Rhinolophus ferrumequinum: one gene and its partners. The protein of the gene in region 3 purifies or fractionates together with the protein of the main gene of each other region. This does not show direct contact. Links are inferred from orthologs where the notes say so. Each region holds a gene or a part of one and is shown on either strand. Other genes may lie near its edges.

Region 1 (7,439 bases), on a different chromosome or scaffold from region 3:
TTCTTTAACCGATTACCCTCCCGTATGTCCAAATTCTGCATGTACCCTAGATTGCTTTCCTATTTAATGGCATTCCCAATATTACTCTTAAGAACCCTCCCCCAAAGTTAAAAGTCCACCTTTCTATGAAATATAAATGAAAGACAAAGATACTGTCATAGACTGGATGAGCTAAGGAGACAACAAATTATTTCAAAATAAACTTTAAGAAACAAAACACCCAGAAACCAGCTATGAACATTATTTCCATTAGAGCCCTGCACCAAATTCTTTAAAAACTTGAAACTTTCATTTACCACAATTTGGATTTAAAAAAACCCCTTTCCTGTTGTTCTAAATATGAAATCCAAGACAATCCCACAATTACCTTAGCAGCAGCCATTGCTGTCTTTTTAGATGCTTGCTTAGCCTTTTTTGCTTCCTTGGCAGCCCTGTAGGATTAAAAATAACTTAAGGTAAAGCACTTTACTCCTTAAGGGTACAGCTTATTAACAAGGAGCTAGAGTGTTTGGAAAAATGGAATTATCATATTCCTTTCCCATCTCCAATTTTTAGGATAAATCCAAAGGGTTTGTCACCAAATGTCATTAACCACCAAGTCAGCATAACATAGAAATTGCATAGTTTTAACTGCATATAGAAATTTCAAATCATTTAGACTATGTCATAAACTTGATATTAAACCTAAATAATGCTGACAATGAAGGCTCCCTCACCTGATAGCTTGTTCTCGCTGAGCCTTCCTAACTTCAGGTTTCTGATTTCTCTTGGCCATTATATCAGCAAGAGACGCACCAGTGATGGCCCTCTGGAATTTGACTGCTCGGCGGGTTCTTTTCTTTTGAATTTCTTCCTACAAAACAAAAAAATAGGGAGCACACTTATGAACCTTGCTTCATGAATTTGGGGGAGAAATGAGTAAGTTTTTAAGGCAGGGGATGTGAAGTCTTTTACGATTAATATTTGTCCTAGTCCATTTGCGCTGCTGTAACAAAATACCAGACTGAGAAGCATACAAACAATGGACATTTATTTCTCATGTTCTGGAGGGTGGAAGTCAGGGTACCAGCACTGTCAGGTGAAAACCCTCTTCCTGCTATAGCTAAATCATCACATATGGGGACAGGGGAACCCTCTCTTGGCCTTTGTATTATGGATTGGTTAAGCCATCTATTGTAAATCCTGGCCATTTTTTACTACTTTAAAGAGACAGAAAGTTAAACTCTGAGGAAGTTAATTGGCTAGTACTTTAAAAGTGATTTTAGTAAGACCATTTAAAGAAGTTACTTTTGGGAAAAAAAGATCAAACCTCAACTCACTTGTTTTGTTTTTACTCAAAGTATGATCACTGGTAGAAATAGTCAAGTTAGAAAATCACGTATTTTCTACGCTGGTGACAGGAAAGCCACCAAGCGTCAGGGAATCAAGACAGTACAATCCAACCATTTGCTGCAGATTTTATACTGGAAACCTACACTACAGTGCTTCTGAGAAAAAAGACCTTGCAGCACACTGCTTAGTCCAAGAAAAATTAAAATGTATGTGAAGAACTGTTTTCTAAAGCAGGGATAATGCCAAATATCTTTAAAATTTTAAACAGACTATATAGAGAAAATAGGGCACATTTGTGGTTAACTAAAATGCTCCTTTTACTTGTTTATATTTTTCCTTCTCTCAAATCCATTTTTAAAATATTTTTTATCGTGGTAAAATATACGTAACATTAACTAGCCCATTTAAAGCATTTTTAAGTTTATAATTCAATGGCATTGAACACACCCACAATTATGTGCAACCACCACCACTATCCATCTCCAGAACATTTTCAACATCCCAAACTCTGCATCCATTAAATAATAGCTCCCCATTCCTTCTTCCCTCACCTCACCCCGGTAATCTCTTTTTGTCTTATGAATTTGCCTGCTTTAGGTACTTCATAAAAGTGGAATCATACAATGTTTGCTCTTTTGTGTCTGGCTTATTTCACTTAGTATCTAAAAGGTTCATCCATGCTAGCTGTCTGGCTGTCAGCTTTTTAAAACTGAAAAACATTCCATTTATATACCACATTTTCTTATCCACTCTTCCACTGATGGGACACTTGGATTGTTTCCACCTTTTGGTGATTGTGAATAATAGTGTTACGAACATCAGTGTACAAATTATCTGTGTAAGTTCCTGCTTAAAATTCTCTTAGGTTATGTACTTAGAAATGGAATTGCTGGGTCATACAATAATTCTGTTTAACTTTCTCAGAAACTGCTAACCTCTTTTCCACAGTGCCTGTACCATCTTAAAACGCTACAATGCACAAGGGTTCCAATTTCTCCACGTCCTCACCAACATTTGTAATTTCCCTTTTTTGATAATGGCTATCCTATTGGATGTGTCAAACCCACTTTTAAATTAGTTTAGAAATAAATTTCTCCTTCCTCTGAACGCCCACAATACCTAGTAATGTCTTTCACCCATGAGTCTAAACACTTCAGCAAGCCTCCTGGATACTAACCCTATTGCCTTAGCACTTAACTTTTTGTCGTAAATTTCTGTCAAGTAAAAAGAGCACTTCAAAAACAAACCCAGTCTTCTTGAGTACTAGTATGCTGGAAGATTCTACCGATTATCTGTGTTAGGACTAATCCGATACACATAATAATCAAAACCAAGTTCCCATAACTACTTAGTTTCCACCCACTGTAACACCTTAAACACTTCCATGGTGCCCTGTAACCCAAGTGAGCTTTATGTTAATTTATCTGACTTGGACAAAGGGACACTTTCAAATTTCAACTTGGTATTTACCGTAAGCCTAATAAGATGTATAAGGAGGCACTGTTAATATCAATCATTTTCACTTCACTGAAGCTTTGCAGTTTAGGAGCACATTCACATACCCTCTCATTTAGTTACAATTTTACAGAGCAGCAACTGAAGGTCAGCATTTAAACAAATTAAGAGAGAGCCCCACATCAAAGTGCATTTTACTTACCGACTGTCCTTTTTTGTGCTTTCTTCTATAGAGAACAGTCCAGTTTATCTGTCGAGGATTCCTCTTGGAAAGGAATGCCGACTCACATTTTGCATTAAGAAATTGGAAAACCTGTTGTGACAAGTTCAAAATATATAAGTTACCTACTCAACTATACAAAATAGAAAAGGCTGAGCTTGAAATCCTTAGCTAATTAATATTCCAGTTTTATCCTGTGCTTTTTACAAAATCGAGGCCCAGAGACCCAATAGTTTGTGTCACACAACTGGCAGTTAACTGTGTAGCACCTCCAAGATCTTTGCATTTGGTCCTGTCTTTTCTCAAGAACAGACAGAGCTAAACTCATGTCGCAGGGGAGGGTCAAATTCTGGGAGGCAGCTAGTTCCTGTTCCTTCCGGGATTCCAAGAGGACCTGGTGGGTGCCCAGATACCTCGGTGGCCCATTTCCCTCACTCCGGGACATTAGTTACACAAACTCCTACTAATTTTCGACCTGACTCACACTAGATCAAAGATCAAGAATGGCTCACTTAGAGGTTTCTGATCCTTACAACCACTACACACAGGGTCCCCAAAGCAAGCCTTTCAGGGACCACGAAACGATGTGTTAAATGACACCGCCTAGACCAAATTAGACCCGTCTTTCCTCTTAAAAGTAGAAAACGCGTTTAGCCGACGCGGCCTTTCACCTTCCCGTCGGTCCTGGCGTAGCGCCTCCCGTGTCCGGGGTAGATCTTGTACCCACTGAAACTGCACAGCTCGACCCTGTAACGAAAAGCGAACGCCCATTAGGAGGGGTTGTCTACGATGAGAAGCCATACCCAGGACGCCCGAGAGGGGTTCTGCCCGAAGATGGAAGCGGATTAGGATGCCGGGCTCCCGCTTACTTCATGGCTACGGCTGCCGGAAAGAAGGAAAGATGGTGAAGAGGAGAGGATCATGGGTAGAGGCCTTCTAAGGCCTTGGGGAGCCAATCTCCGCCCCCAATTCCCTTTTCTAACCCGGGCGCTTGGTGATGACGTCACAACTACCAGGCGACTTATCTAGGTTTTAGCTGCGGCCACTTTCTTGCGGAGGAATTCTGCAAGAGGCGGCGGAAGCTCTGCGGGGTGAGAGGGAAGTGACAGTCACCCAGGGAGGCAGGCGCTTGGTTTCGGAGTCGCTCTCTCCTACAGTCAAATGTCCTAAAGCCATCATCCTGCTGCAGGAATGTGAATTCTCCCTCTTACAGTTGAGTGACCCACAGACGAATACCCCTCAGGTAAAACTTAAAATCACATTTTTGCCCTCCGTGTTCGCCCATTTCCTCAATCAAAAACATTGAATTTTAATAGTTTCACCATTTGCAAAAAAAAAGACATCTGAACTGTTTCCCAAGCCGTGCAAATCGAGTCGTGCGTGATGGCGCGTTACATTCATTATAATTAACATTCATTGAGTGCTTTCTCTGTGCCAGGACTAATGCTAAAGCATTTACATACACTGGTTCATTCAATTTACAAAATCCCTGTTACGTAAGCGCTGTAAGCGCCTTAGTACCGCAGAACGACGACTGCGGTAGGGGAAGAGCTAGGCTGCGGGGCTGTTTCCTATTGGAGCTCAGGGGCCAGTGGTTGCACAAAGAAGGGCAAAGCCCTTGCCTGGAGGCCTGGAAAAGAGAGTTCTGATCAGACCCACCCGAAGGTCAACGCCTTAATCTCTCTAACCTTCTGTAATGCTAGATAAACTTCAGCATATGATGAATGGGGAGTGGCAAGAGTCAATCCTAGGAAACAGAAATATGATTGATTTATGCTATCTATATAAGCAGCCTTACCCTATAAAATTTCTGTAAGGAGGTAGTTGAAGAGATTTGGAAAATCCAATAAGGTGGCTCATTAAAGTTAAGAAAGCTGTACAATTATGCTGGAACCAGTCTTAAGAATGAGTTAACAGAGATCTAGGTGGAATTGAAAAGCAAAGCAAAGAGGAGAAATTTGACAGCCTGACCAAATGTGATCAGCTGTTGAGAATACCTGGTGTACTTCAGAAAGATACTGTCTACATAGACTATGGGCAGATAAATGCTTCAGCCTTACATGGCTCGATGAACTTATTCAACTCTGACATTCATCCAACTCTTTGTTTTAAATCACTGCTGATTAAACAAATGTTTGATCATTAAAATAATTTTTTGTTTTCTGAATAGTCCTGGTTACTATAAGCTCTGAGTCGGCTGGATGTAAGTAGAGGGTGGAGCCAAGATTTACCTGCAGGAATTTGGTTCTGTTTGCTCCACAGAACCCCAGAATTTATAGACTCTTTCCAAGCATTTTAGAAAGATTTTGCTTTATTGGCCTTCAAAATTGTGTTTGGCTTGACTGGCTCGGTATAGTTAAAGTGGGAAACTGGGTCTTAAGGATTTTAGCCTTTTAACTCTTCTTTCGTGTTGGGCATTCTTGAGGTAGTATTTCATGGTCCTTTGTAACATTGTGTGTATCATAAATGAAATTGTGCTCAAACACTCTTAGAATAAGAAATTATAAAGAAACTCCTAAAAACATTTTACGTTGTGTAGTAAAGCACAAGTTTCCAACACCATCCATAAATTTTTGCTGACTTTATCCTCACATTCTCTTTTATAGACAAAAGGCTCAGCTGTACTCCATTATCTTATTTATTTATGGAGCAATTTGGAACTAAAGTTGGAGCTCTTCTCAACTCTATATACCTCCTGAGAACAGACCATTCTTCTCTTCACTGCTTCTTCACCTTTTATACATACTCCACCTTCTGTATTAATTTCCCATAGTTGCTATACCAAATTAGCACAAACTTTGTAGCTTAAAACATCGGAAATGCATTTTCTTTCAATGCTGGAGGCCAGAAGTCTGAAATCATTGTCACTGGACTAGAATCAAAGTGTCTGTGCTCCCTCCAGAAGCTCTGGGGGCAGAACATGTTCCTTACTCTTCCAATTTCCACCTAGATAAACCCTCTTGAATTCCTAACCCATAGAAACTGTGAGATCATAAATGTTTATTGTTTTAAACTACTATGATTTGGGAATCGCTTATTAACATAGCAATAGAAAATACAGGAGGTAAGGAAATTGTCAAGATCAGGACTTAGTGAATAGTGGTGTCATTTGTAAAACGACAGATAAGAGTGGGCCGGCTCGGTGGCTCAGGCGGTTGGAGCTCCATGCTCCTGACTCCGAAGGCTGCCAGTTCGATTCCCACATGGGCCAGTGGGCTCTCAACCACAAGGTTGCTGGTTCAACTCCTTGACTCCCGCAAGGGATGGTGGGCAGCGCCCCCTGCAACTAAGGTTGAACACCGCACCTTGAGGGCTCAGGCTTTGTGAAAGAAGGGGGAGAAGAGAAAGCAGTATTAGGCAGGAAAAGTTAAATACATTGCAGGACCAACTAAACATCAGTCAGCCCTGCCAGGAGCTCTGGAACAATTATTGCCTGCCAGAGTATCCCATGTTGGGCCAAATGATCAACCCTCTTTATAACCCCACTTTGCTTAGTCACCAGATGTGGGTTGCTCCGGAGAGTCACGACCTGTTAGGTGGTTCTCAGCAGCTGAGCCAGACCCTGCTGACAGCTGGAGGATGCAGCTGACCACGATGCCCTTTGTTGGGCAGCAAGCCCTTGCTCGCAGAAGGATCTGGAAAGTACATCTCTGTGTTTACCACCCCTAGAAAACAAGTAAGTGCATTCTGAGTGTTTTCTTCCAATAACATTCTCTTCTTAGGTGTAGGAAGGATCTTGCCTCTTTTAGAATATACCACCATAATTCCCAGCAGGCTGATCAATCCTAAGACTCTCAGGCATTGACTTCAGGGATGGCTTTGAAAGCAATGTCTAGTAACTGGGTTAGAAAATTACCAGGTTTAAAAATTATACAGCATTAAAAATTACGAAGTATTCTTAAAAATTATAAAGTATTCTTTAAAAATATCTAGGGGGGGCTGGGTGAAAAAGGTGAAGGGATTGAGTAGTACAAACTGATAGTTACAAAATAATCATGGGGATGTAAAGTATAGCATAGGGAATATAGTCAATAATATTGTAATATCTATGTATGGTGCCAGGTGGGTACTAATGCGGGGATCACTTCCTAAGTTATATAAATGTCTAACCACTATGCTGTACCTAAAACTAATATAATATTGTATGCCAACTGCAATTGAGAAATAAAAAATAATTAAAAGAAAATACATAACAAAATTCTAATCAAGTCGTCATATGTAAGTACCAATTTATGAAATATAGGGGCCAGACAGACATGTGAAATGACTCCACTGGGATGCAGTTGGCATCTACAGGGTGACTTAATTTCTTCAATAACATGTAAATTGTAAGGAGGGGGAGAGAGAGATTGAGAGAGAGAGAGAGAGAGAGAGAGAGAGAGAGAGAGAGAGAGAGAGAAGAAGAACCTATGGACAGGACTAGCTGCATAAA
Region 2 (7,906 bases), on a different chromosome or scaffold from region 3:
AGGAAAGCCTTACCTTTCTGAAGTTTATGTCATAGAGGGCAATTGCAATATTCAAAAACAGTTCATTTTCAACAAACATTTATTGAAAGAACACTGTATGCAGGTACTGTGCTCAATACTAGTTTACAATGAATAAATACAGAAGTTCACAGTCATTGTCTGAGCATGCCAGACTGGATGAATCTTCCAACTCAGCACAGCTTTTCTTGTGTTCTTAATGGATTGGCATCTGGTTTCCAGTGTACACTCTCTGGGGTTTGTTTGGTGTGTTGGTTGCCAGAGACCAATCAACCCTGGTGAACCCGCAATCAAGTTCTTCAAGCTGTAAATCTTAAGGACTGGATTCTTCATACCACCCAGAGGATAAAGTGAAGTTATGACTTTTAATAACCTTCTCAGTAACATTTATTTACCTGGGTTTTACAAACAGCATCATTTTCTATGGTCTCAGCATTTCTGAGCTAGGATGGTACAGAGAGTCTCTGTATGACTGAGTTATGCTACCAAAAGTTGATTTCTAACTTGGTTGTTTGAAACTGAAAATGATTTTCCCCAGAGAGGCAATGGGATAAATACCGGTTGGTTCTCAGGACAACTCTTAAAAGCCCAGTTAGCCCACATGCAGCTCAACCATGAGGGTGAGAACTGTGACCCATAACATTGTTTCCACCGGAAAAGATGCCTCAGCAGCAGAGCAAGGTCTTCCTTCCTCCTCCACTTCCTACCTCCATGAGTGTGTTTACTACAGGAAATGCAACTTCTGAGTGTAGGTGGCTGGGCCTGTGACCTTGGACGCCTTATCCACCATTCTCTGCCTCTCCTGCCCTAGCCTTGTCAGTGAGGGGAGTTGAGGGGAGTTGGGGAGTCTTTCCCTGACCCACCTTCTTCAGAGTAGGGCTGTTGGGACTCTTTTGGGGGTGATTCAAAGCCAGCTACATAATTTCTGGGGTCCCTTGTTCAAAAGTAGGGGAAAAAAGCAGCTAAAGGTATTAAAATACAAAGCTTATTTCCTTTCTTCTAGTCTCTCTCTCTTGATGTGTTATAGTGTTTTAAATTTAGAGTTAACTATTATAACGATTTAATATCATTCTAAGTAAGGAAAATTAAAAATTAGCATGAATTTTAGACTTAATTTTTGTACAATGCCAGTTTGAAATACAAATATAACAGCATTTAACTCCTTTGTGAAATCACACAATTCCTATTTTGTAGCTCACAAAGTGGTCCTCCCCTTACCCGCAGGGGATATGTTCCAAGACTCCCCTGTGGATGCCTAAAACCACAGATAATACTGAACCTTATACATACTATGTTTTTAAATTATACACACATACCTATGATAGTTTAATTTGTAAATTAGGTAGAGTAAGAGATTAACAACAGCAATAATAAAACAACAATTATAACAATATACTGTAATTAAAGTTACGTGAATGGCTTTGGGGCCATTATTTACTAAAATAAGGGTTACTTGAACACAAACACTATGATACCTCAACAGTCCTATGCTAACCTGGATGGCTACTAAGTGACTAAAGCATGAGTAGCTGGTAGCCACATACAGCTTGATATACTGGATAAGGTATTGATTCACATTCCTGGTGGGATGGAGGAGGACAGCTGGAGATTTTTACCACGCTTCTCAGAACCGCGCACAATTTATAACTTATGAATGTTTATTTCTGGAATTTTCCATTTAATGTTTTTGGACCATGGTTGACCATGGGTAACTGAACCCATGGAAAATGAAACCATGGATAAGGGAGAGAGAACTGTACACAAGAAAGGGTGGCTCCTTAAAGAACATCAGCATATTGTTACCATAGTAAAGTAGGCTGGATGCAGGACAGAAAAAACGATGGATTTTCCTACTCTCTCCCTATCTCCAATCTCTTGTTCATTTAATCTATCCTTCCCATCCATGCCAGAATTATTGTTCTAAAAAACTAGTTGTATCATCTAAATTCTTCTCCTACTACCTTTACATAAATCCAGAAGTTTTGGCATCTAATCAAGGCTTTCTCATTCTAGTGCTAACTTGTCTTCATTTCCCTGGGGCCTGTCAGACTCTTCCCATTTTCCAAAGTGTGCCAGGCACATTCATGCCTTTGTACATTCTGCTCTTTCATCCAGAAATGTCTTTTTCCTGATACTTCCTGATGGAAGTATCAAATATTGTCTCTTCCAACTGAAGCTTTCCGGATGTTTACAATCATTATTAATTGTTACTTCCAACAAACGCAGGTAATTTGCATCTTTGCTTAGGAAGCATCTCATGCTACCTGATGGTGTACACTTACCTGTTCCTCTCCTGTATTCCTTCACTACAAGGGCTTTCAAACTCTTTTAACAATAGCATGGCTCATAGCAATAATAAACAGTAAGAGTGAAAATACATTTTATGTTGTATGCACACTTATATATACATTTCATCAATTTAAAGAAGCATTTCCTCCATTTTAATATCTCTGCAATCAAGATGTAGCAATAGGCTATCATATTTTGGTAGAGTTTTCACTTTCTTAATAGTACATAAAGTAATGGCATGTCATAATTGATGACATAGATTTGTTGAAATATGGTACAGAACTGAAACAAAAGTTTCACAAAACAATGTTTACCATTTGTTATGGGTGAGGCTCCCTAGTCTTTCATTCTATTTCATTATTAAAAAATGCAGATTATAATCACCAAAATCATTTCACTACTCACTTAGGAAGTAGAGAAAAACTACAGAAAACTGACACTTTACAGCTACACAATGGGATTAAAAACTAAGGCTGACTACATTAACCTGACTTTACAACTCAACTGTCTGCATAAACGACTTTAATTTCAAGAAATTCTTGCCCAAGAAGAAGTTACAGTTAACTTAATTGCAGTTTCAGGAACTTCCTCAAAAAAAAAAAAAAAAAAGTCCATTTTCCTGAACAAGACTATTGACTGATCTCACTTTCATCAGGGTAAATAGCTCCCTCTTCAACAGGATTACTCTGTTAGGTTTAGCAACCAACTGTTTACTTTTCTAGGCTTGCTTCAAAACTCTCCCGTGTCCACTCATCCTAAATGATTATCTCATGAATTTAGCTCAATCTCAATCATGCTCTTTCACTGAAAGACCTGTCTTAAACCAGATCCTCCGAATCTTCTAACTACCAACATAATGATCTCTTACTGCTGTAAGCAATGAACTTGGCTTTGCTTGCTTAACAGGTTATTTGGGTGGTCCTTGCTGGAAGTCAGGAGCTGACACTACATTTTAAACTCCACCAGGGATGACACAGTGCTTGTTATTTATTTTCCTCCCCTCTTCCTCCTGGTGATCCAACATTGATGGATGGGGAGGAAAGGTGTCTTACGAATCTGATGGGAGACTAGAGTTGGATCAGTAAGGGATGTATAGTGGTTGCAGGTAAGGAACTCTTGTTGTAGAGGCTGCATCCACAAATTAGAAATCCTGGGGTTGGAACAAGCCTCCCCTTTCTCTCGGTTTTATCTACTCACAATCTCCTCTTCACACCTGGTACTCAGATGGTATTGTTTTAAATACAAAACATTCAAGTTCCCTCCAAATCACTTAACTTCAAGCCACTATGTGATCTTTGAAGTGGTCTTTGCCTCACGCTTGAAGATGAGCACAATAATGGATAAAGGCTGCCAAACGTTTGGTTCTCATCAGGAATGGAATTAAGTCATTGAAAAAATATGCTGGCCAGCGTCTCTCATTTCATAAATAAATACCTACATAAATTTCACATAAACACTGGAAAGGCTCCTTGGACTTAATAAGCCAGGATAAATAAAATAAGTTTGCCTTTCATCTAAATAGGCACCAATCCACATTTCCCACTACATGTCCCAGTGTAGCTCTTCCCAAATTCTACGCTTCTGTAAAACTGGCCTGGTCCCAGTGCCTGCAACAAGCCAGGTGCTTTCCCTCTTTCTCTGCTGTTTCTTCCGCAGGAACACCCTCCCTCTCACCTCCTCTGGTTATATCGGTTTCTTCCGATCCAGCTGAAAGGTCACCTGTGTCGACCTCACTTAGAAGCCTTTCTCCACCCCCTCAGGCAGAATTAATGGCCTTCTTAGCACTTGGCCTCTAACGCGATTGCCTTGTAAATCGGCTGTTGCCTTCTAGCCAATCCATCTTCAGGTCCGGCTTTCTTGTTTCCGGCTCATCCGGGAGACAGGGATGAAGGCCTTTTCATTTTGGACTGCCTAGTGCCTTGCATGTAGTAGGTGCGCAGTAAACGCTAGGAGTTTTAGCCACTTTGTGTCTAGTGCTAGAGCAAGTAGCCGAGCAGAGAAGGCCCGTCTGGCCACCTCCCCGCCGGCCGCCCAGCCCAGCCCAGCCCAGCCCAGCCCAGCACACGGAGGCGGCTGATGAGCCCGCGTGCTTCTCGGGCCACCCCCGCGGCGCGCGGCCCCCAGTCACAAGCGTTGGAAATTCCGACGCGTGCAGGCGCGCGGGGCCGGCCGGGGGCGGGGGAACCCGTGGAGTGAGCCTGTGACGTGAGGGGCGTAGCTTCACGAGGCCGCGCCCCCTCTCCCTCGCCCTCTCTCGCGGGTCGGGGTTACATGGCGGCGACTGCGGCAAAGCGAGAGCCTCGGAGACACCGGTGCCGCCAGCACAGCCGGAGACCTGAGCCGACCCTGGGGGCTGTCCGCGGGTCCCGCACTCCCTCGATGACTCGGAGAAGTCCCGTAAGTGCGTGTGTGTACGTGTGCGGGGCGCGCCGGCGGGGCGGCTCGGGAGGGCGCCGCGGCGGGCCCGGCGGCGGCGGCGGCGGAGCCGGCTCGCTCCATTGTGTGTGACCCTCCGGCGGCCGCCGCTCAACAAAGGCGCTTTTGTTCCGTCTCCCGCCCGCCCCCTGCCCGCCCGCCGGCCCGCCAGCCCGGGCCTGGCCGGCGCGTCCCCTCGCGGGCCGGCGGGCGGCGGGCCGGGGTCCCCGCGTGGGGCCGTCAGAGCGGCCGGCGCGCCCCTCCCACCCGGCACGCCCCTCGCCGACAGCTCGGCCGGGCCGCGCCCGCCAGCCCCGGGGACCCCGCGTGCCGGCTGCGGCGCTGCTGCGGGCCCCGGGCTTCTCAGGTTCGAAGCCCGGCCGGCAGACTAGGGGCGGCGGCCGGGAGGGGCGGCCCGGGCGGGGAGCGTGAGGTGGCGCGGAGTCTCGCCTTCCTGGCACGGTGCCTTTCGAAATGCTCTCGGGTCTCCTCCCCCATCCCATTCCGGTGACTCGGCCTCAGCTGACTCCGGCCGGGCAAAGTCTCCAGTGGACTCGGCAAATTGCGTAGCGCGCACCACTCACCCGGCTCGTCTCAGAGCCATGAAGTCCTCTGCCCAAGTTTTGAGTCTAGCCATAAATGAGGTACAGAAAACTGGTCTGAGTGGGAATTCCTAATTTCCTCCCTCCGCTCTCCTGCAGCCTTGCCTTAGCCGCTTTCGGGACGTTGAGCGGTGGTGGGTGAAAGTACCCAAATGAAAACTTGTTTTGTCCGTTCACTAAAAAGGGCCTTCTGACTTCGCTATGCATTTTTATCTGATTTGGTGTGGTGCGTTGAAAAGTAAAGGTGTTTTGGCCGCCTTTTGTTCCTTGTTTTATTTAGTAAGACTCGTCTGGTTCAGGTGTTATGTGGGAGCTCTGTGAAGCAGGATCTTTTTGATTTCTTTTCTGTCTTATTTTTTCTCTCTTGCTTGTTATTGGAAAAGGTCCAGTGAAGAAAACTGGTGATGTGGAATTAGAAACCTACTGAATTTGTAGCGAAATTCATGTTCTTTCCTTCAGTGCAAAAAAATGCCCTTAAAAGTCAGTCTCAGTATTAACTTCTATTACGGATACAAGGTGATTCGTTGAGAGGGAAAAAAAAAAAATTAACAGGGGACAAAATGGAACGCAGGCTGCTTCAGAGTAATTTTCTGATTGCTTGATTCTTGTTATATTTTAAAGGTCTGGTTGGACATAGCGTCTCTCCAACGTTGGAAAACTGAGATGGAAAGAGTAATCTGACTAGATGAATGTAGGGTCCAAAGAGGGCACTGCCTCTAGAGTTTCTCTTAGAAATGTCAGATTTTAACGTTAGAAAAATAATTGGGTGGAAGAAACTTAACATATCTTGAACGATTCGTTGTTCAAACATGTGTATGAAGGTCTTGCTATGTGCCAAGTTGTGTAAAGTCCTTTCATATATGTTACATCACTTAATAAGGATTGCCTTGTGAAACTTGTAAAATTGCTTATTGGTGTCCTAAATTCAGTAATTGCTGTCATCTAGGAAATGCCAAATTTGAGTAAAACATGTTTTATCACCCAGATACTGCTATTCAGAAAAAAACTGTGGGAAATGGAGAATTATTTATAAAAACCTTTATAACTGGGGGTGCCAAAAAAATGTATACACATGATTTGCATTCATCTTTTGTGATCAGTATATATTGAGTGTTACAACTTTAATACAGTTTTTTCCTTTCTTAAAATGTGTATACATTGTTTTGGCACCCTCTGTGTATGACCACATTTTGGAGTTCAGTTATTTGCAAAAGAAGATGAAAAGCAGTGTTTGACTACCTTCTGTGATTAAAGAATCTAGAGAAGATTGAAGAGCAATTAATTTTGCAATAGAAAAAGCACCTGTTCTAATGACAAGTGTTAGTACTAAAAGTGTTGTAGCATTTTACATAAGTTCATTTAAGCATCGTGAGAATTCATAACTGACAAAATGGTAAGGTTTGCTGACTCAGGGTACATTGCTGAAGGGGATAGGGTCGGGTAGGAGGAAGCTTGAAGTGCTGCAAGTTTTGAGTTGGGTGATGACTCATCCTGCCCACACTGCTACGTGGCCTTTTTTTTATACACTGTATTTTTTTAAAATGATAGGCTAAAATATTTCTGTCCGCATTATAATCCACATTCTCTCTCTCTCTCTCCCTCCCTCTCCCTGTCTCAGAACCACAGTTTCTCTAAAAAAGTAATGGCTTCTTAAATTGCATTTTAGAAGGCTATCATATATCCTACAGGTGGAATTTTGTAGCATTTGTTGAGAGGAAAGGTAAAATTGCTGGTCAGTGCCTACAGTTAAATGTTTCATACTAGCAGTTCTTCGGTTATGATTGAGGTTTATTACAGAGTATTTACAAAGGACAGATAGTACTTTTATGATGTGGGTAGAAATTAACCTTATATCTTCATTGGTAATGTAAAAGTTATTTTTATAATATCTGGAAGCTAGTTTAAATCAGTCTGTAAAGGTGCAGAAATATGTAATCATATATTGCTTTGAGCATGAGCATTTCATTCTGATGGAATTACATACATAGTGCTTTTTCCTGATCTATATGAGTTTTCTGCTTTAATAAAGACAACTTGAAATAGGTATTGTTATAGGCACTGTTTTCCATCAGTATTTTTATTTTAAAGATAAGCTGAATGTATAGTTCCAAATTTAGGACATGCACTGACTGATGTTTGGTAATTAAGATATTTTGGCTGATTTTAAAAAGCTATCATGTAGCATTGTGGCTTAAAATAAGATTTAAAAAAAGGAAGATTGAGAGTAACAGGTTGTTTTAAAAGTGAGAAGAAAAAATTCCCCATTCCCTCATTTTTCTTTGTATACTATTTATCTTCTCAAAGTGACTTATTTGGGGGTGGCTGGTTAGTAGCTCAGTTGGTTAGAGCATGGTGCTGATAACACCAAGGTTGCCAGTTCAATCCCTGCATGGGCCACTGTGAGATACCCCATCCTTAAAAAAATAAAAATAAAAAAATAAAAACTGAGATACTCAAAGTGCCTTATTTGAAGAGCTTTATGAGCAATGAATATATTGTTAATGTGAATTAAATCTTGGGAGAGATTTTGGAAGAGTGTTGCATGATTTATATAAAGGAACTTAAAGTTTAATTCAAACTTT
Region 3 (7,670 bases):
ATAGCACCCACACTATTGCTCTTCTTTTTTATTTTCTACTCGTAGGGTGGTAAGGGCAGGAGAAGGTTGGCTCCCACCCCATCTCCAGCTGGCTATATTCTCCATTGTCTGGCTTCCTCCTGAGTCCATCGAAGCCGCAGGGATTCATCTGGAGAGAGAAGGGGTTGGGTTAGTGGTTTTCTTGCAGCAGGCATGAGATCTAGCTCATGTGACCCCCCCAGACTTCCTACAACCTACCCTCAGCCCCTCTCTCTCCCTGGCCAGTGCAGGCAGCCCCTGCCTGGGCTCATGTCTGCACTGGTTTTGGTTTGGGGAGTTTGGGTTGCTTCTAGGTTTCCTCTCTGAACCTTCTGGGCTTTGGCAATTCAGCCTTTTGGATGCCAGACACTGACACCAGCCAGACACTGCTTGGGACCCACTGTCTTTGGAAGACAGGGCAGTACTAGGAGTGGGGTGGGTGGCAGAGAGGAGTCAGGAAAGAGGCATGGGGCCAGCACGTGGTGCCAAGCTGGAGGGGGTCCCAGCCCCTTCTGGGACTCTCTGGTTCCTGTCTGTACAATGTGGGCCTTGCACACCAGGAAGGTTAGAGCCTTAGCACCTGTTGCTGATCTACTGGCTTGAAAGGAGTAGGGAGTAGGGGGATGGAAGGTTGCCAAGAGCAAGGCCCAATGAGATGGTGGCCTGGTGCCCTCACCATGCTGCAGTGGTGTCACTGTCACTGTCAGGGAGTTCTTGATGGCCTAGGATCCCGAAGGGGGCTTCCTGTGTGGTCCAGCAAATGGACCTCAGTTCTTATGGAATTCTCACTCACCCGGTTCAAGCTTGTGGAGCCTGAGAGCATCATGTGATCAGGGTTAGGGCACCCATCAGTCTGTTGGTTCTCAGCCCTCCCGCCCCCAGGCTGACCCAGCCCAGTTCTCACTGTCCCGCTCCTCATCTTCTGTGTCTTCCTCAAGCTCTGGGTGGGGACAAGACCTCAGGTATCTTCCTTTGCTATAATATTCCTTGCGTTGCAGATCAACCTCCTTGCTGAACATGACAGTGGCCGAAACTGGGGACTGATTTCTGAAGGTAGAGGAATCTGAGGAGTCACCCAAATCTATCTGAGTCTTATGGCCACCTAGGGTATCTAGGCCCCCCAGGTGTCTACTGTGACCACCACCACCACCGCTGCCACCACCATCACAGGGGAGAAGCTCAAGCCCCAGGTTCTCATCTCACTTCTATTACCTCCTCCCATTTTAGAAAACCTTCAGTGACTTCTCCATCCCCCACAGCTCTCTTGGGCTTTCTGTTCCTCCTCACCAGCCAGCCTTCCCTGGGGACTATCCTCAGGGGGGACCCACCCCAGCTGCCCCTCTGTCTTCCCTGGGGTCACCTCCCAGCATTACCTCCCCCTCAGGCAGCAGGGCCCTGGGCCGATCGATGCCCCCTGAGGAAGACAGGCTATGGTGGAAAAGGCTCTGGACTACAATTCCCTTGAGTCCCTGGGGCCCCACCATAGCTAACCCTTGGCTTCTAGGATGTGGTTCCTGGTCATCAGGCCAATCTCAGCTTTGACTCCTCTGCCCGGTCCTCCTGCCGAGCCTCTCTCCACAGTCCTGGGCCCTGGGTCCAGCATCACACCTTGACTGCCACCGTCCATACTGACATTACCCCCGTTGCTGTTCTTGTTATTACCCAAGTGCAGGTTTTTCTGAGTCTTGAGGAACGTTCCTTCATTGTAATGTGCCTTGCGGCGCTTCTCAAAATCACTGAAGTCTGTGGGCCAGTTTAAGAGCTCGGCTTTCCCCGCCATGCTCTCACTAAAGAATCACTCCACCTCCCTTTTCCATTCAATCCCCACCCCTCATCTCACTTGTCTCGGGAAAGTCGTCTGAAGACCCTGAGCTTCTGTTATCACTGTACTGGAGGACCTTGGGGTAGAAATTGTCCATTGTTGCAAACCTGAATGGGAGGGAGATTAGTTGGGGGCACTGAAGGGAGAAAACAACAATGGGGGCAGATGGTAGATGGGGCCAAGCTGGCTGACTTCCCCACCTTAGCCTTGGCCTGATGGGAACTATAGTACCTCTCATTTCGGGGGCTGGGGGGCGAAAAAGCAGAGCTAGCTAAGACTCTAGAGTTCTGAGGTCTGAGGAAGACGCCCCACATCCCTACTGATCTGGCAGGACTCTCACCTCTGTGCTAGTGCCTCAGGAGTCACTGTGTGGGAGGACCCTGGAAGCGGGTTCTCATCATCTCTGTTCTGCAGCCTGCCAGGGAGAGAGGAAGCAGTGTGAGAGCGGGGTAGCAGGCAGGATCCAGTCCCTGAGGCCTCTCCGCCTCCTTCCCCATTCCCTCCTTTGAATAAGGAAGAGTCTGGGCTAGAGGCTGAGGCTGAAGGTTCAGCACCTGTGGTAGGGAGTGCTGGGCTCATCCACCTTCAGAAATCCGTAGTCCTTGTCAGCAGGGTGGTAGGTGGCCATGATGTTCATTTCATCCCAGTGCTGAGACTTTTTCCTGGGGTGGCGGAAGGACACAAAAAAGGGGGAGGAATCCTAGTAGCATGCTCCTCACAGTCATCCCTAATTCTTTCAGTCATTCAAAACCTTATCCTTTTACCACCTTGGAGTTCCAGAGGCATTGGAGGCAGGGATGGGGTCACACCTAATGATAATCACATACTAGTAGCCGGAGTTTATCTGGTATCTGCTGCTCTCCCAAAGATTTGGAAACTCAGATTTCCCTCCCAGTTGCCCTCACCTATTCTCACATCTAGTCCTCAGGATTCCGCTCCTTCCCACCTGGCTCCGCCCCCTTCAATGTCCGGAACCCCTCCCTCTGGGCTGAGAGCTGCCTGCCCGCTGAGCTGGGATCCTTACTTTTCTGCACTGGGGGATTTACACATCAAAGTGGAGCAGCAATCTTTTAGGATACTCCGGGTACGATCCTCACAGGGTTTGTGGGGGTGCAAGCAAGTTGACCCGGAGAGCAGATTGCATCCTGAGTTGTGCACCCCAGGCTCCTCGGACCCAAGGCCGGACGTCCCGGATACACTGGTTCCAGGAAAGGGGGGATTAAATCCGCCAGGACGTGTGCCGGACCCAAGGCTGTGCCCCGCAACCTCCCCAGAATGCTGATTGGGCCCGGAACCGAGGACCTCTACCACCCCGGAGGACCGGCTAGAACCAGGACTGCAAATTACGATTCCCCCGGAGTGCCGGGAACGCCCAGAACAGTGAGACAAGATTACTCCGGAGGGCGGCCTGGCGCCTTCCTCCACTCCTCTGATGCCTCCTGGCATTGCCCTGAGTACCCCTCCAGAGGATTCCCCGGTTGAGGCCGCCAGCAGCCCCCAGAGATTCCTGCTTCTCCATGGCCCCACTAGGGGGCCACTCTCAGCTACCCCGTCCTGCCTCCCTGCTCCATCCACATAGCTCCACCGCGGCGGGAGGGGGAAGCTTGGGCTATGGCCCGGGCCCCCTCCCGCTTTGCTCCACGAAGTCGCGGTGGGTGGAATCAAGACTATATAGGGACCTCCGGCTGGGAGCCCCTCCAGTTGCCCTTCCCTTTTTGTCCCACCCCCAAATCTTACTTCTTTGTCTCTGGGATTTGTTCCCGCCCTTCTCCCATCACCGCCCTCATCCTAATTGTCCAATCATAGTCAGGGGTCCTGGTCTTGGGGCCAGAGGCCTTGTGACGTCAGTCCTCCAACCCTAGTGCGAGCATCGGATTTGGGCTGGGGGCTTAATAGCTCTGGGGGATCTTTGGGCACTATCAGCGCCATTGCTTGAAACTGCCGGGGTTTGTTTGGACTTATCTGTGGCTTTAAAATCTAAGTTTGATTGGATTGGAGTTCCAGATGAGCTTCACTGGAAACATCCGTGAGCCTTTTCCCCCTAAAAGTCGGCCTGCTTTGCCTCTCACGAGAGATGGGATACAAAGTGGAGGGATTGCGACACTGTCGCAAGACATATCCCCTCTCAGTGGTGTGGCGGGCAGAGATTTTCATTTATGTATCTACCGGTTCCCACTCACACCACTTTGAAGCGTGTAGCGTGAAGAAAAGACACCTCCTCCTTGCCGTAAAGCGAATACTAAAAGATGTCGCCTGCCTCGACGGGGGCGGGGTCGTTGGTGCCGCTGTCGTAAAGCTGAAAGTTTTAGGTGCCCGCACCCCTCCGTCGTAAAGATGCCTGCGGCAGTCGTTTCTTCCACTGTCGCAAAAACTCCCTGCCCAAGTCTTCACCCCTCTCGGAGCCACTCCGTCACCTTGCCGTGCCGTAAAGTAAACCTTCCCGACCCCGTCGTCCTTCTGTTTCCACCGTGGTAGTCATTAATTCCCTGGCTCGGGATGCTTCAGGGCCTGGCCGTGCCGTAAAGCATATCTGCCCACCCCCCCCAGCCCGAGGTCCTATTCCCTCAGGGTATCTGTGCACCGCGGTTGCCACGGTGCCGCCAAGCGCGGCTGTCGCGCGGCCCCGGCGTCAGCGGCGATGGCGGCGGGGTCGGGTGGGAGTGGGGGCTCTGGGGGAGGCCCGGGGCCCGGACCTGGTGGGGGTGGAGGCCCTGCTGGGAGCGGCCCAGGACCGGGGTCTGGCGGGGGTCTGGGCAGCGGCGGGGAGCTGCACCCGCGCACTGGGCGCTTGGTGAGCCTGTCGGCCTGTGGGCGTACAGCGCGGCGGCAGCAGCCGGGCCAGGAGTTTAACCACGGGCTGGTGTTGAGCCGGGAACCCTTGCGCGATGGACGCGTCTTCACCGTCCGCATCGACCGCAAGGTGTGTACCTGGGGCCCCGGAATCAAAATATGGAGGGTGGTGGGAGGGGACCAGAGGGAGACGAGGTAGGACAGCCAGGTTAGCTCACATCACCGGGTACCAAGAGGGAACCGACAGACAGGACACCAGGTGACAGGCAAGAAGGGAGCATGAAACAGAAACATGCAGTCTGAAGGAGAAGGAGACAAGAAGAGCTTTAGTTTTACCAAGACCCAGGAGCAGGGAAGGGACACGGGGCCTCACTCACTAGAACGAGTAGGGAACAGAACTTATGGAACAATTTCTGGGAGATGGAAGATGGAGAGATGTCAGAGATGTGATGGGCAGAGAAGAGAGATAATCAAGGAAAGAACAGACCATTGAAGGACAAATTCAGGGTTGGTTGGGTAGGAAAGATGGGTAAGGAGAGCTACTCAGGGAGAAGGAGATGTATGTATGTGTTTGTGTGTAATTTAGTAAAGAGACCAGAATTTGGAAAGAGAGTGAATCTGAGTGGAGCCAGAGACAGGAGAGAATTAGGCCAGGGGGAGGAAAATTATATACAAGAGCAAAGAATATGGGTGCAGAGAGCTGTGAATTTGGGTGGCTGAGGAACCACAGAGCTTAGCAAAGTTAGAGGAGGCAGGGGGCTGAAGCCAGGGAATTTGGCCATCATATTGGGGAAAGGATTGGTATTGCAGACACCGAGTACCCACAGTACAGAGCAGAGTTGCTGGGGAGAGCAGACTAAACAATCCCTGAAACAGAGTCCAGAAAATTACTTGTGGGACTGCATCTCTGGATTAGCGTCTCATGTCTCAAGAGAAAAAGCCAATGAAGCTGTCTGAGAGGTGGGTTGAGGGGTTGCAGTGGCCTGTAAAATGTGGTTGCCTAGTGGTGGGAGACCCATCCTGACCCTGTATCCATCACCCCATCACAGGTCAACTCCTGGAGTGGCTCCATTGAAATTGGAGTGACGGCACTGGACCCCAGTGTGCTGGACTTCCCAAGCAGCGCCACTGGGCTGAAGGGGGGCTCGTGGGTAGTGTCGGGCTGCTCCGTGCTGAGGGATGGACGTTCTGTGCTGGAGGAGTATGGTCAGGACCTGGACCAGCTTGGCGAAGGGGACCGTGTGGGCGTGGAGCGTACGGTGGCAGGGGAGCTGCGGCTCTGGGTGAATGGGCGGGATTGTGGTGTGGCCGCCTCAGGCCTGCCTGCTCGTGTCTGGGCTGTTGTGGACCTTTACGGCAAGTGCACCCAGATCACTGTGCTACCCCCTGAGCCAGGCTTTAGCTCTCCTCCTCCCATTCCCACACCTCCCCTTGAGCCCTCTGCTCCCTATGAAGATTCTGCCTTGGCTGAACAGGGAACCTCTGGGGATGAAGGTGAGAACACAGTTAGGGCAGTGGTGGAGGGGTGGGACAGAGGGAATGGCCGTCGGAATGGGGGAAATGTAGTGACAAGTGACCCTGGGTGTGGGCAGGGTCACTCAGATCCGAGTCTGTTGAGGAGAGTAGGAGCTAGAATAGGGGTCTCCTGGCTGTGGGCCGTGCAGCAGGGGCTGAACCCTTATTCCCCTCCCATCCTGCCTGGTCCCCAGTCTTCATGGTGTCCCCAGCGCAGGCCCGGCCGGAGATGTTTCCTAACAGCCTTGAGTCGCATAATGGTGAGGGCTTCGAGGAAGTTCCGGGAAGGGGAGCGGGAAGTGAGGTGGACAGGGAGGGACTTCAGGAGAGGGGTAGGGAGAAAACTGCAAGACTGAGGGTTTGAGGGTATACAGCCTCATTTCAGCTTCCTTTCTTTGTCCTGCTACTATAGACTTTGGCAGCATGGAGCTATCTGAGGTGGTGAGCAATGCCATACTATCTGCCTACAATGGGGGCCTCCTAAATGTGAATCTGAGCTCCCCACCAGCAGGGGAAGGGCTGGGGTCTAGCTGTGCTGCCACCTCGCCCATCCTCACTTCCAACGATGCCCTGCTCTTTCACGAGAAGTGTGGAACTCTCATCAAACTCAGCAACAATAATAAGACGGCCGAGCGTCGCCGGCCCCTGGATGAATTCAACAATGGGGTTGTCATGACCAACCGCCCGCTCCGAGACAATGAAATGTTTGAGGTGTGCAAGATCCTGGGGTCTGGCTGGCACTTCACCCTCTGGGAGCTAAAGATGGGGCGTGATCCTTGATGTTGGAAGGGTGGAGACTGGGAAATTGCCACGGGCTAAGTGTCCTTTCTCTGCATTTACATTCCCTGCCTCTCCCTTCTGCTAATATTCCACTCAAGATCCGCATCGACAAGCTCGTAGATAAGTGGTCAGGCTCTATTGAGATTGGCGTCACTACCCACAACCCCAACAATTTGGAATATCCAGCCACCATGACCAACCTACAGTCAGGTACCAGCCACTGGCATGGTGGGGGCAAGGAGCTGGGGTCGCTGAGTTCAAGGAAACCCATACCCTAACCAGGGTGGTCACTGTCCCCTAGGCACCATCATGATGAGCGGCTGTGGGATTCTGACCAATGGCAAGGGCACCCGCCGGGAGTACTGCGAATTCAGTCTGGACGAGCTGCAGGTGAGAGTGGGGCACAGCCTGGGCCACTCTCCCAGGGCGTCCCGGTATGCTGCATCCTTGCCTGGGCGCTGCAGTCTCCTCTGTGACCTAGAGCAAGGCCCTTTATCTTTTGTCTGAAGATTCTTTCTGAGAAGGCAGGGTTCCCCAACAGGCACTCAGATTTTAGAGTCCATGGGTTCAGTTCCCCTTACTGTTTGGCCATTTGTGGTAGTGACCTGAGGCAAGAAGATTATCCCTTTTGGTAATTTCTTCTTTTCAGAGAATGTCTAAAAAGAGCTTGTTAGGAGTGTTTTGTAGATTGTTGTGAGGGTTAAACAAGTTGATGGTTATAAGAGGACTTAACTCAGTGCCTTCT
Region 4 (7,945 bases), on a different chromosome or scaffold from region 3:
AATTTCTCCCCCTTCCTCACCGCTTAAAGTTGACGTGCATCCTTCCCTTATCATTTCCCAGAGGCCTTTGTGTATCTGCTGTACACTTAAGTGCCTATAAACAACCTACAGCACTCTACTAACGCACAGTAAACATTCAATAAATATTAGCCATTGTTAGGTACTGGGTTGTTTTGAAACACTGGATTATCAAATTTATCAATGTTCTTTACGGGTAGAGAGTTTTCTATCTTTTTAAAATCTTTTTCTATCCCCCATTTATAAACACATACACCCATATTTTCTTCTAAGCTACAAAGGCCACCAGGGAGGAGGGAGCCACAACGTGGGGACTGCCTACCCAAATCTATCCTTCTTCTCTGCTGGCGGAGACTGGCCCTTGCCCCAGTGTTCAGTTTCTCCTGGGCTTAGAGTAAGTGGACTACTCCCAATCCCTCTGTCTGCGTGCGTGCGTGACGGAGGCTTCTGGGAAAGAAACGTGGGAGAGGACGTGCAGCCTTTTCTTGAGATTAGATGCTGGTGTGTAAGAAGGTGATGCCTGGGGTGCAATGGCCACCTGGCAACCGCACAGAGGACTAGTACAGATATGCTGCAGATGGCAGAGCAGATGGATCCATGAAACCTGAGTCCTCCATGATCACAAACTGAATGGCTGAAGAAACAATCCCGGAAGTCACCTCTCCCACACACACTTGTCATGTGAGAGGATAACCCCATTATTGTCTGCGATATTTGTAGTAAACTCTCTATTACACGAAGCCAAAAGCATTCTAAGAAACACCCAGGTGGTTGGAATAGACAGATTATGGAGTTTGAGAAAGACACAAGATAGAAAGGTGTTTGGATTTTATCTAACTGCAACAGAGAACCACTGGAGGGTTCTAAATAAGGGCAGGATAGTACAATCTGATTTATACTTTAAAAAGGTACTCTGGCCTGTGTGGAGAATGGACTGTGGGTAAAATTTCATCACTGTCACTATGCGTAATTGTGTATGCTTTTGGAATACATTCATTTCATCTCTCAGTCCTTCTCTATCTACAGAAGGCCATTCCCTTCATCTTGAGTTCAAAAGAAATATATAGTGTATTTCCATCAAAGTTTGGTTTTTGTCCTGTTCTTTCTCCCTTTGCATGTTTGCATCTCATAATTTATATTCTTAAACTTTCTATGATGTGAAAAATCACGGAAGACTTTCTGACAATGGTAGAACTCTTGGGTTGTTTTCCTATAGTGTCATCTTTCTTTTCATGACAATTCTATCTCCTGTGTAGCTATGTTACTTCATCTGACCGCTCTGAGTTTTAGTTTAGAATATAAAATACACCCTTCAATATCTTTAGATTTCTTTTTAAACAGAAGGCTTAAAGAGCTGTTCTGCCTCCCTTCCATCGCAAAGAACCACGGGGAAAGAAGCACAAGAGAAGTTTAACTTGGTTTATAAACACAGAGTGAAGTGCGCTCCAGTAAATTACAGGCTGCCTTCCAGACTCCCTTCCTTCTTCACTTATTTTTTTTAACCTTTACTCGGAGATGATTTTAAAGGATCAAGCCATCTTTAGATTCTTGGCCTAAAGATCTTACATGAATGGAAGTCTCATCATGGGCCAAGCACTTTGTGTCGACTGTCTCACTGAATCACAACCTACTAAGTGGATGCCAATAGTATTCCCATTGTACAGATGGGGCAATTGAGGTCAGGGCTAGGACTAGAGTGAAGGGAGGTGTCCTAAGGTGCCTGGCCTGCCATACCCTAGTCATGACTCTAACTGGGACACACACAACTTAAGTAACTTGCTCCTTATACAACATTGTCTGTCCCTAGCTGGACAAATAAAGGATACTCAGCCCACGTTTTCCCATCCTGGAACAATTCTAATCTATGACAACGTGGATTGGGGCTTGGAATCAGAAGGCTGAATTCAAGGAGCCATGTATTTGAGTCAGTTTTCCTACCCATTCAATGTTAAAATAATGTCTCAAAGAAACGAGAGGACCAGATCTATTTCCTCAGATGCAAAAGAACCTAGACAACGCAAAAGCTCTCTTGCTATGTAAGCTGTCATTATTATTGTATTATTATTGTGAAGCTGCGAGACTGCCAGGAGAGCCCTGTGAAAAGGGGAGGCAAAAATTCATCAGGAGTCCCGCTGACATGGTTGTCTGAGTGTCAGTGTGTTTGGGGGAAAAGGTGATAAGGAGATGACGTGGGCAACGGCTGCTCCTGGGGAGGGGATCCATTTAGCGTGAACTCAACCACTGATCAAGCCTCTGCTTAGCCTGGCCACGTTTCTTCCTTCACTCCCACACCAGCCTTCATTTTATTCCTTGAAGTCAGGCCACAGAACTGCCTATTCTGTCACCTGAATATTCCAACACCCTTCCCACTTCAGGACTTTCGCTCTTGCTGTTCCCTTTTCCGGGGACGCCTTCCCCCCAGATCCCTGTCTGGGTCTTTCTCATAATCTCGATTTCAGTTCGCACGTTCTTCTCTTCAAGAGGACGTCTCTGATGACTGTCTAAAACAGCTTAACTCCTCCTCTGGGTCATTCCTTGTACCATTACCCTATTTCTTTTTTGCGCTTTTCGCTCTCTTCAAGTGTCTCATTTATGGGTTTCCTCGTTTAAGGCCTGTCTCTCCCACTGCAAGGCAAGCTCTGTGAAAGCGGGGCCCTTACGGACTTGTTCGTGTGTCCGCGGTGCCTGGCACATAGCAAACATGTCAATATTTGCTGCTGTTCTACAAATTCTTGAAGACTTTCCAGACTTCAGAGGGATGTTGGGCCACTTGAATGTCTTCCTGGCGGACGAATGGGGTACTGGGAAGGCTGTCGTGAGAAGACTGGGGAAGCTTGGGAAGGGCAAGCAGAAGTCCAAACTCCCAGGAGCGGCGGAGGGGCGCGAGGGGGGAGAGATGGGGGTATGGGGAGGAAGCAGGGGGGGGGGGGGGCTCACCTGCCGAATGGCCGCCAGCGTGTTTTCGGGCGCGTCGTGGCTGCCGCCGCGGTGGGCGATGGCGGCAACGCGGTCCCGGGGCTTGAGCACCTGCAGGGCCCTGCGGGGGGGCACAGGCTCAAAGCTGAAGAGACGGAGCAGAAGGTAGAGGCTGCCGGTGAAGAGGCAGGCATTGAAGGGGCTACGTGTCACCAGCAGAAACAGCAGCAGCAGGAAGGAGAAAGGGCCCAGGAGGCCCCCCTGTTCCTCCCACAGCCACATGCCGGCGCCCGCACCGGCACGGACGGGAGTCCCGGACCCGCCGGGCTCCTGGGACAGGAGAACGAGAAGCGAGGGCGAGAGCCCAAGGCACTCGCCGCAGGGGACACCCTTCAAAGGGACTAGCGCCTCACAATGGCGGCGGCGGCGGCCACATCCCTGGAAGGGGCTGGGAGTCCAGCCAATCAGGGCCCGGGATCTGCGAGGACGGGGGCGGAGCCACTGCCATGGCAACGGAGGCGGCCCCAGGCCCCAGGCCCCAGGCCCCAGGCCCCAGGCCCCAGGCCCCAGGCCCCAGGCCCCAGGCCCCAGGCCCCAGGCCCCAGGCCCCAGGCCCCAGGCCCCAGGCCCCAGGCCCCAGGCCCCAGGCCCCAGGCCCCAGGCCCCAGGCCCCAGGCCCGCATTCCAAAAGTCCAAAAGTGGCTTTTGGGTTACTCTGGGATCTGGACTTCAACCTGAGCTTTCAGACTCCGGAAGGGGAGGGATACGAGAGCTGTTGTATAGTCGTAGGACTGGATGGGATCTTAGTGACTCCTTCAGTCTGCCTTCGAGGACACCGCCCAGCAGTGAACAGGATCTACAGGGTTCCTACTCTTGCGGGGCTTACGTAATCGTGGGGGAAAATAATTGTGTTCGGGGGTACAGCTAACATTCATAGAGCACCTACCATGTCCCAGGTTCTGTGCCAGCGAACGCTTCAGTGGGTAGGTATTATCTTCACAACAGCCTCAGTGGGTAGGTATTATCTCAGGAGACTGAATTCAGTTGATTTTTAGGAGGGTTTTTCAGACTGAGGGAACGAAAGGGCATAGCAAAATGAGCGAAAACCAGATTATAAAGCTGGAAGGCATTTGAATGATTCCCTCCTTGTGCAAATGAGGAAACTGAGGCCAGGAGAGGTGAAGCGAATTGAGCCATTAATGGCAGAGTTAAGACTGACTCAAGCCACCCCAGTTTTAGGCCAGTGACTTTTCCACTGCTACTTCTCCTCCTAACCTTACGTCCTGCCAAGGGCTGGTCATGGGGCTTACGAGCCAGTTATTGGGCGAGAATTATCTGCTGCTCCTCATAACCACCCTTGTGACAGTCACTTTTAAAACTCTCATTTTACATATGCAAAAATAGGCACGGGAAGGAGCGTCAATAAGAGAGGCAGAGCGTAAAGTCAAGTTACAAAATGAAAGGTGTCACTATATCATTTGTAACGGTAGAGGCGCTAGCTCGCAGTGAAGACTACGTTTCCCGGCGCGCACCGCGCTTCCCGTAAGTACCACGCCCTTCATCACTGGCCTAGGAGCCTTACCCAGGCGCGCAATGCACCTCGGGGACTGTAGTTTTCTGGTGGCCCAACGGTTTCAACGGCCCGGGAAGCAACCACCGGAAGTGCCCACCCTGAGAGGTGGAGTCTGGGCGGCGGCGGCGGTTGCCAGGAGCCCGCGTTGCCGCCTGAGACCCGTAATATGGCGGGGAGGAGGAGGAGGCGGCGGCGGTGGACCGAGCTGCTCTCTGTCAGTACCAGTTGAGCCATTTGCTTCCTGACAAGGCCTGTGGTGAGGGGAGGAAAGCTGACCCAGCCGTAGGAGATCAGGTGTGTGCGTGAGGAGGGGCTTTGACTCCGAGGGTCCCGCCACCGGGCGAGGCGGACCTGGCGCCCTGAGGAGCTGAGGGCGGGCTCCGTACGGAACCCGAGCGCCAATGCTGGGCTCCCGGGCCTCGAGCCCCTGGAAAGGCGCCGGTGTGGGGAGGCGGGGGCCCCGGTGCCCGTGGCACCCAGCGCGGAGGTGATGCTCGGATGGTGGCACCACCGCCTGGTGGGCCCTAGGGATGGAGCCTTATCCAAGGAGCTGGGGGAGGTGGATGTGGGGCGCTGGCGTGAGGGTCCCGGGTACATAAACTCCGGCCCGAGCCTGTCTCCTTTTGATAAAACTGGGCCTATTTAAATCACCGGGCCACGAGGCTGGCGAGGGAGGCGTCCCCAGGGTGTGTACTGGCCATTTCTGCACGCGGGTTACCACAACCGGAGGCCCTCGGAGCGCTGTTTACTCTGCCTTCGCGACTCTCTGGGGGCAGAAGCATGAGGATAATAAAGCAAATTATCTTGATTGCCTCTCATGCTGCTACGTGGTTCCCAATCTTTGCTTCTCTCTGGTTTTGATCCAAGTTCCCTACCCCCCGCGTTGAGGCAAATGACAGGTGCTAGAGATTGATTCAATGGGAAGGGGTCTGGAAAAATAAGAAATGAGGACGCTGTTGTCCCCCTTTCCATGTTTTACAGTTAAGTTTGAATCTTACCAGGAACCACGCACTGTTCACTGCCCTCCAGGAGTTCATAATTTAGTGATAAGCCACCATCATCATCATTATCACCATCATCATCTGCATAATAAAAGCAGCCCCCCCCCTTTTATTGATGCTTTCTGCATGTCCTGCAGTATACTAATTGCCATCCGTGTGTTAGTTTCTTGAATCCTCACAGGATCTCTTTGAGACAGATGAGATTATCCCTATTTTACAGATGAGGAGACTGAGGCATAGAGATGGTAAGTGAATTGCCAAGAACTTACAGCGAGTGTGTGCCTGGATAAGAAACCTTCCCCTGTATGGCCTCTGCAAGAGGTTTATGTCTTTGGGAGGACGGATGGGTAACCAACCATCTAGAATCTCTAAACAAGGCAAGATCTGTTCTGTGTTACTTTTACCATTCCCTTCAGTGATGTGACTCGTAAAGCACTGGTGAGGAACAGGGCGCAGGCGCAGGGCCATGAGTCGAAGGGGTTTGCAAAGAGGCTTACTTGGAGAAGGGTCATGGTATAAATGGGAAAGACGAGGCATGTCTGAACTTGATGCAGCTGACAAATTATTAATGCACGTGAGCCGGTAATGCCTGATGGTCAAGTATGGGGCAGTAGATTTGTGGTTGGTGTGGCCGTGTAGTCAGGGCTCCCTAAAAATAAAATCCTGCTGACAGAGGTGATTGTATTGTGAGAAAGGCGGCTCCCTCTTGCTCAATCGTGCAGGCTATGGATGCTCACTTTGTAAGTGGCTGCCTTTGCAGTTCAGAGGTGCCAGTTTCTGTGAGAATAGGGTCATCCATGAAACTACCACTCTTCCTTGCTAGCTGCCTTGCTATCTAGTCGATCGCTGTTCATCTTTTTCCTGGTTTGCATTATTCTTTGAGCTAACTACCCTGATGTATTTGTTCAATACTTTTATCAAGTGCTACTGAGTGCTGGCGCTGTTCCTGTGTCATGGGGATTCAGTGGTGAGCAAGAGTGAGAAAGCACCTGTGCTTATGGAGCTCGTGTTTCACTGGAGAAAGGCAGACAAAAACCAAGGCAACAAACAAGATAATTTCAGATAGTGGTAAGTGCTGTGGAAATTGGTAAGAAGCAGTATAATGTGGTCGTGACTGATGCAGGGTTAATTTAGATGGGGGACCAACAAGCTGAGGCTGAAGGATAAGAAGGATCCAGTCATGCTCTTCTAGGATCATTTGGTAATTTCCATAGTCAGCATATTAGCACTTGTATTTGGATATTTCATGCAATAGCAGATGCCACAAGTTATGCTGAAATAATAATAAATTACGGTCCACCTGCAGTATGTATGACATACATGTACTGTTTAAGGGATATGAATTTAACTTTCTGAAGCAATGAGGCATATCTATGTGACATTGTTGAAAGAAAACTGAAACTATTGTAAAGATACTTTGTTTCCTTAAATTTCCCAGACCTTTAAAATAGAATTTCATTCTTTGTTTGTGTAGCCATAGGAAGTCTATTAACATTAATTGTATGAGTAATCTATTTATGTGCCGTAAAATGCTGGATGCATGGATTGTGGTAAAAAATATTTGGAAGTATTTTAATCAAAATGGGGTCGTTTGAATTTCTCTTACGTCTTAGCTTCTGCATATTGTGATTGTTAAGATAATCGTAATCATAATGTAGGTTGGACTCTAGACTGAAAATGGAGGCCTTGCTATGGTGACATTTCTGTGAATTAAACGCTCACTTTGCATAATTTGAATATGGAAATATTTAGAATTGATGGGATGGTAGGAAGAAGTTATTAAGACTACCAGTTGGTCAATCTAATCATAATTTTCATATGCTTTTTCTTCATTTCTAATTGTATTATAATTTGTCCCTGGCACTTCAGTGTACTGAATTTTTAAGTACCTGGAGGCTTAGGACAGTATCATATTCTCTCTTATTTCATCTTTGCATATCCTACATCATGAATTGAATCTCCCTGCCCTCTGTCTTTTGTTAATTAATTAATTGTTTTAAAATGAACACTGAAAGATACATTACTGTATTAGTTTTTCTGTCCTCACAGTTCATTCCCTTGTTGGTTATGAGTCTGATGATGACTCCCTTTTTATTTTCCCTTGCTTATTTAAAGGAAACAATGCCAGACATAATGCTATGGAAACAGGCAATCAAATATTTAATGCTTGCTAGCTGAATGAATATGGTGGCTAATCCTTCCTGGTTCCCTTGTATTTTCATAGCCACCATTACACTTTTCCAGAAATTGTGAAGTTACAGGGTTGATTGTTTTAAGTAGTTTGGCAATGGTTTCAATTTTCAATGATCAACTAGAATTATTATGAGAGCCTATAGATTTTCTGTTTTCCACTGCTGACTGATTTGGCCAGTGACCATGGAGTCATACTATGTTTTTTAGATATGCAAGTAATAGACTTTGAACTCCATGACAGAAA

What was found. Proteins that work in one complex are often made in the same cells at the same time.
Region 1: the proteins of NEURL4 (region 3) and CEP97 purify together in Homo sapiens (affinity purification with western blotting; 4 studies listed by BioGRID and IntAct, with this or other methods). This does not show direct contact. The link is inferred for Rhinolophus ferrumequinum from reciprocal best matches to the Homo sapiens genes NEURL4 and CEP97.
Region 2: the proteins of NEURL4 (region 3) and MAPK6 purify together in Homo sapiens (affinity purification with mass spectrometry; 6 studies listed by BioGRID and IntAct, counting the BioPlex papers as one, with this or other methods). This does not show direct contact. The link is inferred for Rhinolophus ferrumequinum from reciprocal best matches to the Homo sapiens genes NEURL4 and MAPK6.
Region 4: the proteins of NEURL4 (region 3) and CCP110 purify together in Homo sapiens (affinity purification with western blotting; 4 studies listed by BioGRID and IntAct, with this or other methods). This does not show direct contact. The link is inferred for Rhinolophus ferrumequinum from reciprocal best matches to the Homo sapiens genes NEURL4 and CCP110.

Annotation. Positions count from the first base shown.
Region 1 is NC_046285.1:30,664,709-30,672,147, forward strand, and holds the start of CEP97 (centrosomal protein of 97 kDa), read left to right. Parts: upstream 1-4,066; 5' UTR 4,067-4,250; intron 4,251-6,502; 5' UTR 6,503-6,683; intron 6,684-7,439. Other genes in the region: RPL24 (60S ribosomal protein L24), read right to left, coding at 368-431, 717-853, 2,990-3,100, 3,679-3,754, 3,877-3,881. UniProt on the Homo sapiens protein: Acts as a key negative regulator of ciliogenesis in collaboration with CCP110 by capping the mother centriole thereby preventing cilia formation. Required for recruitment of CCP110 to the centrosome.
Region 2 is NC_046289.1:55,959,300-55,967,205, reverse strand, and holds the start of MAPK6 (mitogen-activated protein kinase 6), read left to right. Parts: upstream 1-4,533; 5' UTR 4,534-4,704; intron 4,705-5,218; exon of another isoform or gene 5,219-5,366; intron 5,367-7,906. UniProt on the Homo sapiens protein: Atypical MAPK protein. Phosphorylates microtubule-associated protein 2 (MAP2) and MAPKAPK5.
Region 3 is NC_046304.1:11,515,085-11,522,754, forward strand, and holds the start of NEURL4 (neuralized-like protein 4), read left to right. Parts: upstream 1-4,463; 5' UTR 4,464-4,478; coding exon 4,479-4,760; intron 4,761-5,679; coding exon 5,680-6,124; intron 6,125-6,339; coding exon 6,340-6,405; intron 6,406-6,557; coding exon 6,558-6,856; intron 6,857-7,023; coding exon 7,024-7,135; intron 7,136-7,226; coding exon 7,227-7,315; intron 7,316-7,670. UniProt on the Homo sapiens protein: Promotes CCP110 ubiquitination and proteasome-dependent degradation. By counteracting accumulation of CP110, maintains normal centriolar homeostasis and preventing formation of ectopic microtubular organizing centers.
Region 4 is NW_022680357.1:15,414,384-15,422,328, forward strand, and holds the start of CCP110 (centriolar coiled-coil protein of 110 kDa), read left to right. Parts: upstream 1-4,572; 5' UTR 4,573-4,801; intron 4,802-5,671; 5' UTR 5,672-5,753; intron 5,754-6,430; 5' UTR 6,431-6,576; intron 6,577-7,945. Other genes in the region: GDE1 (glycerophosphodiester phosphodiesterase 1), read right to left, coding at 2,956-3,216.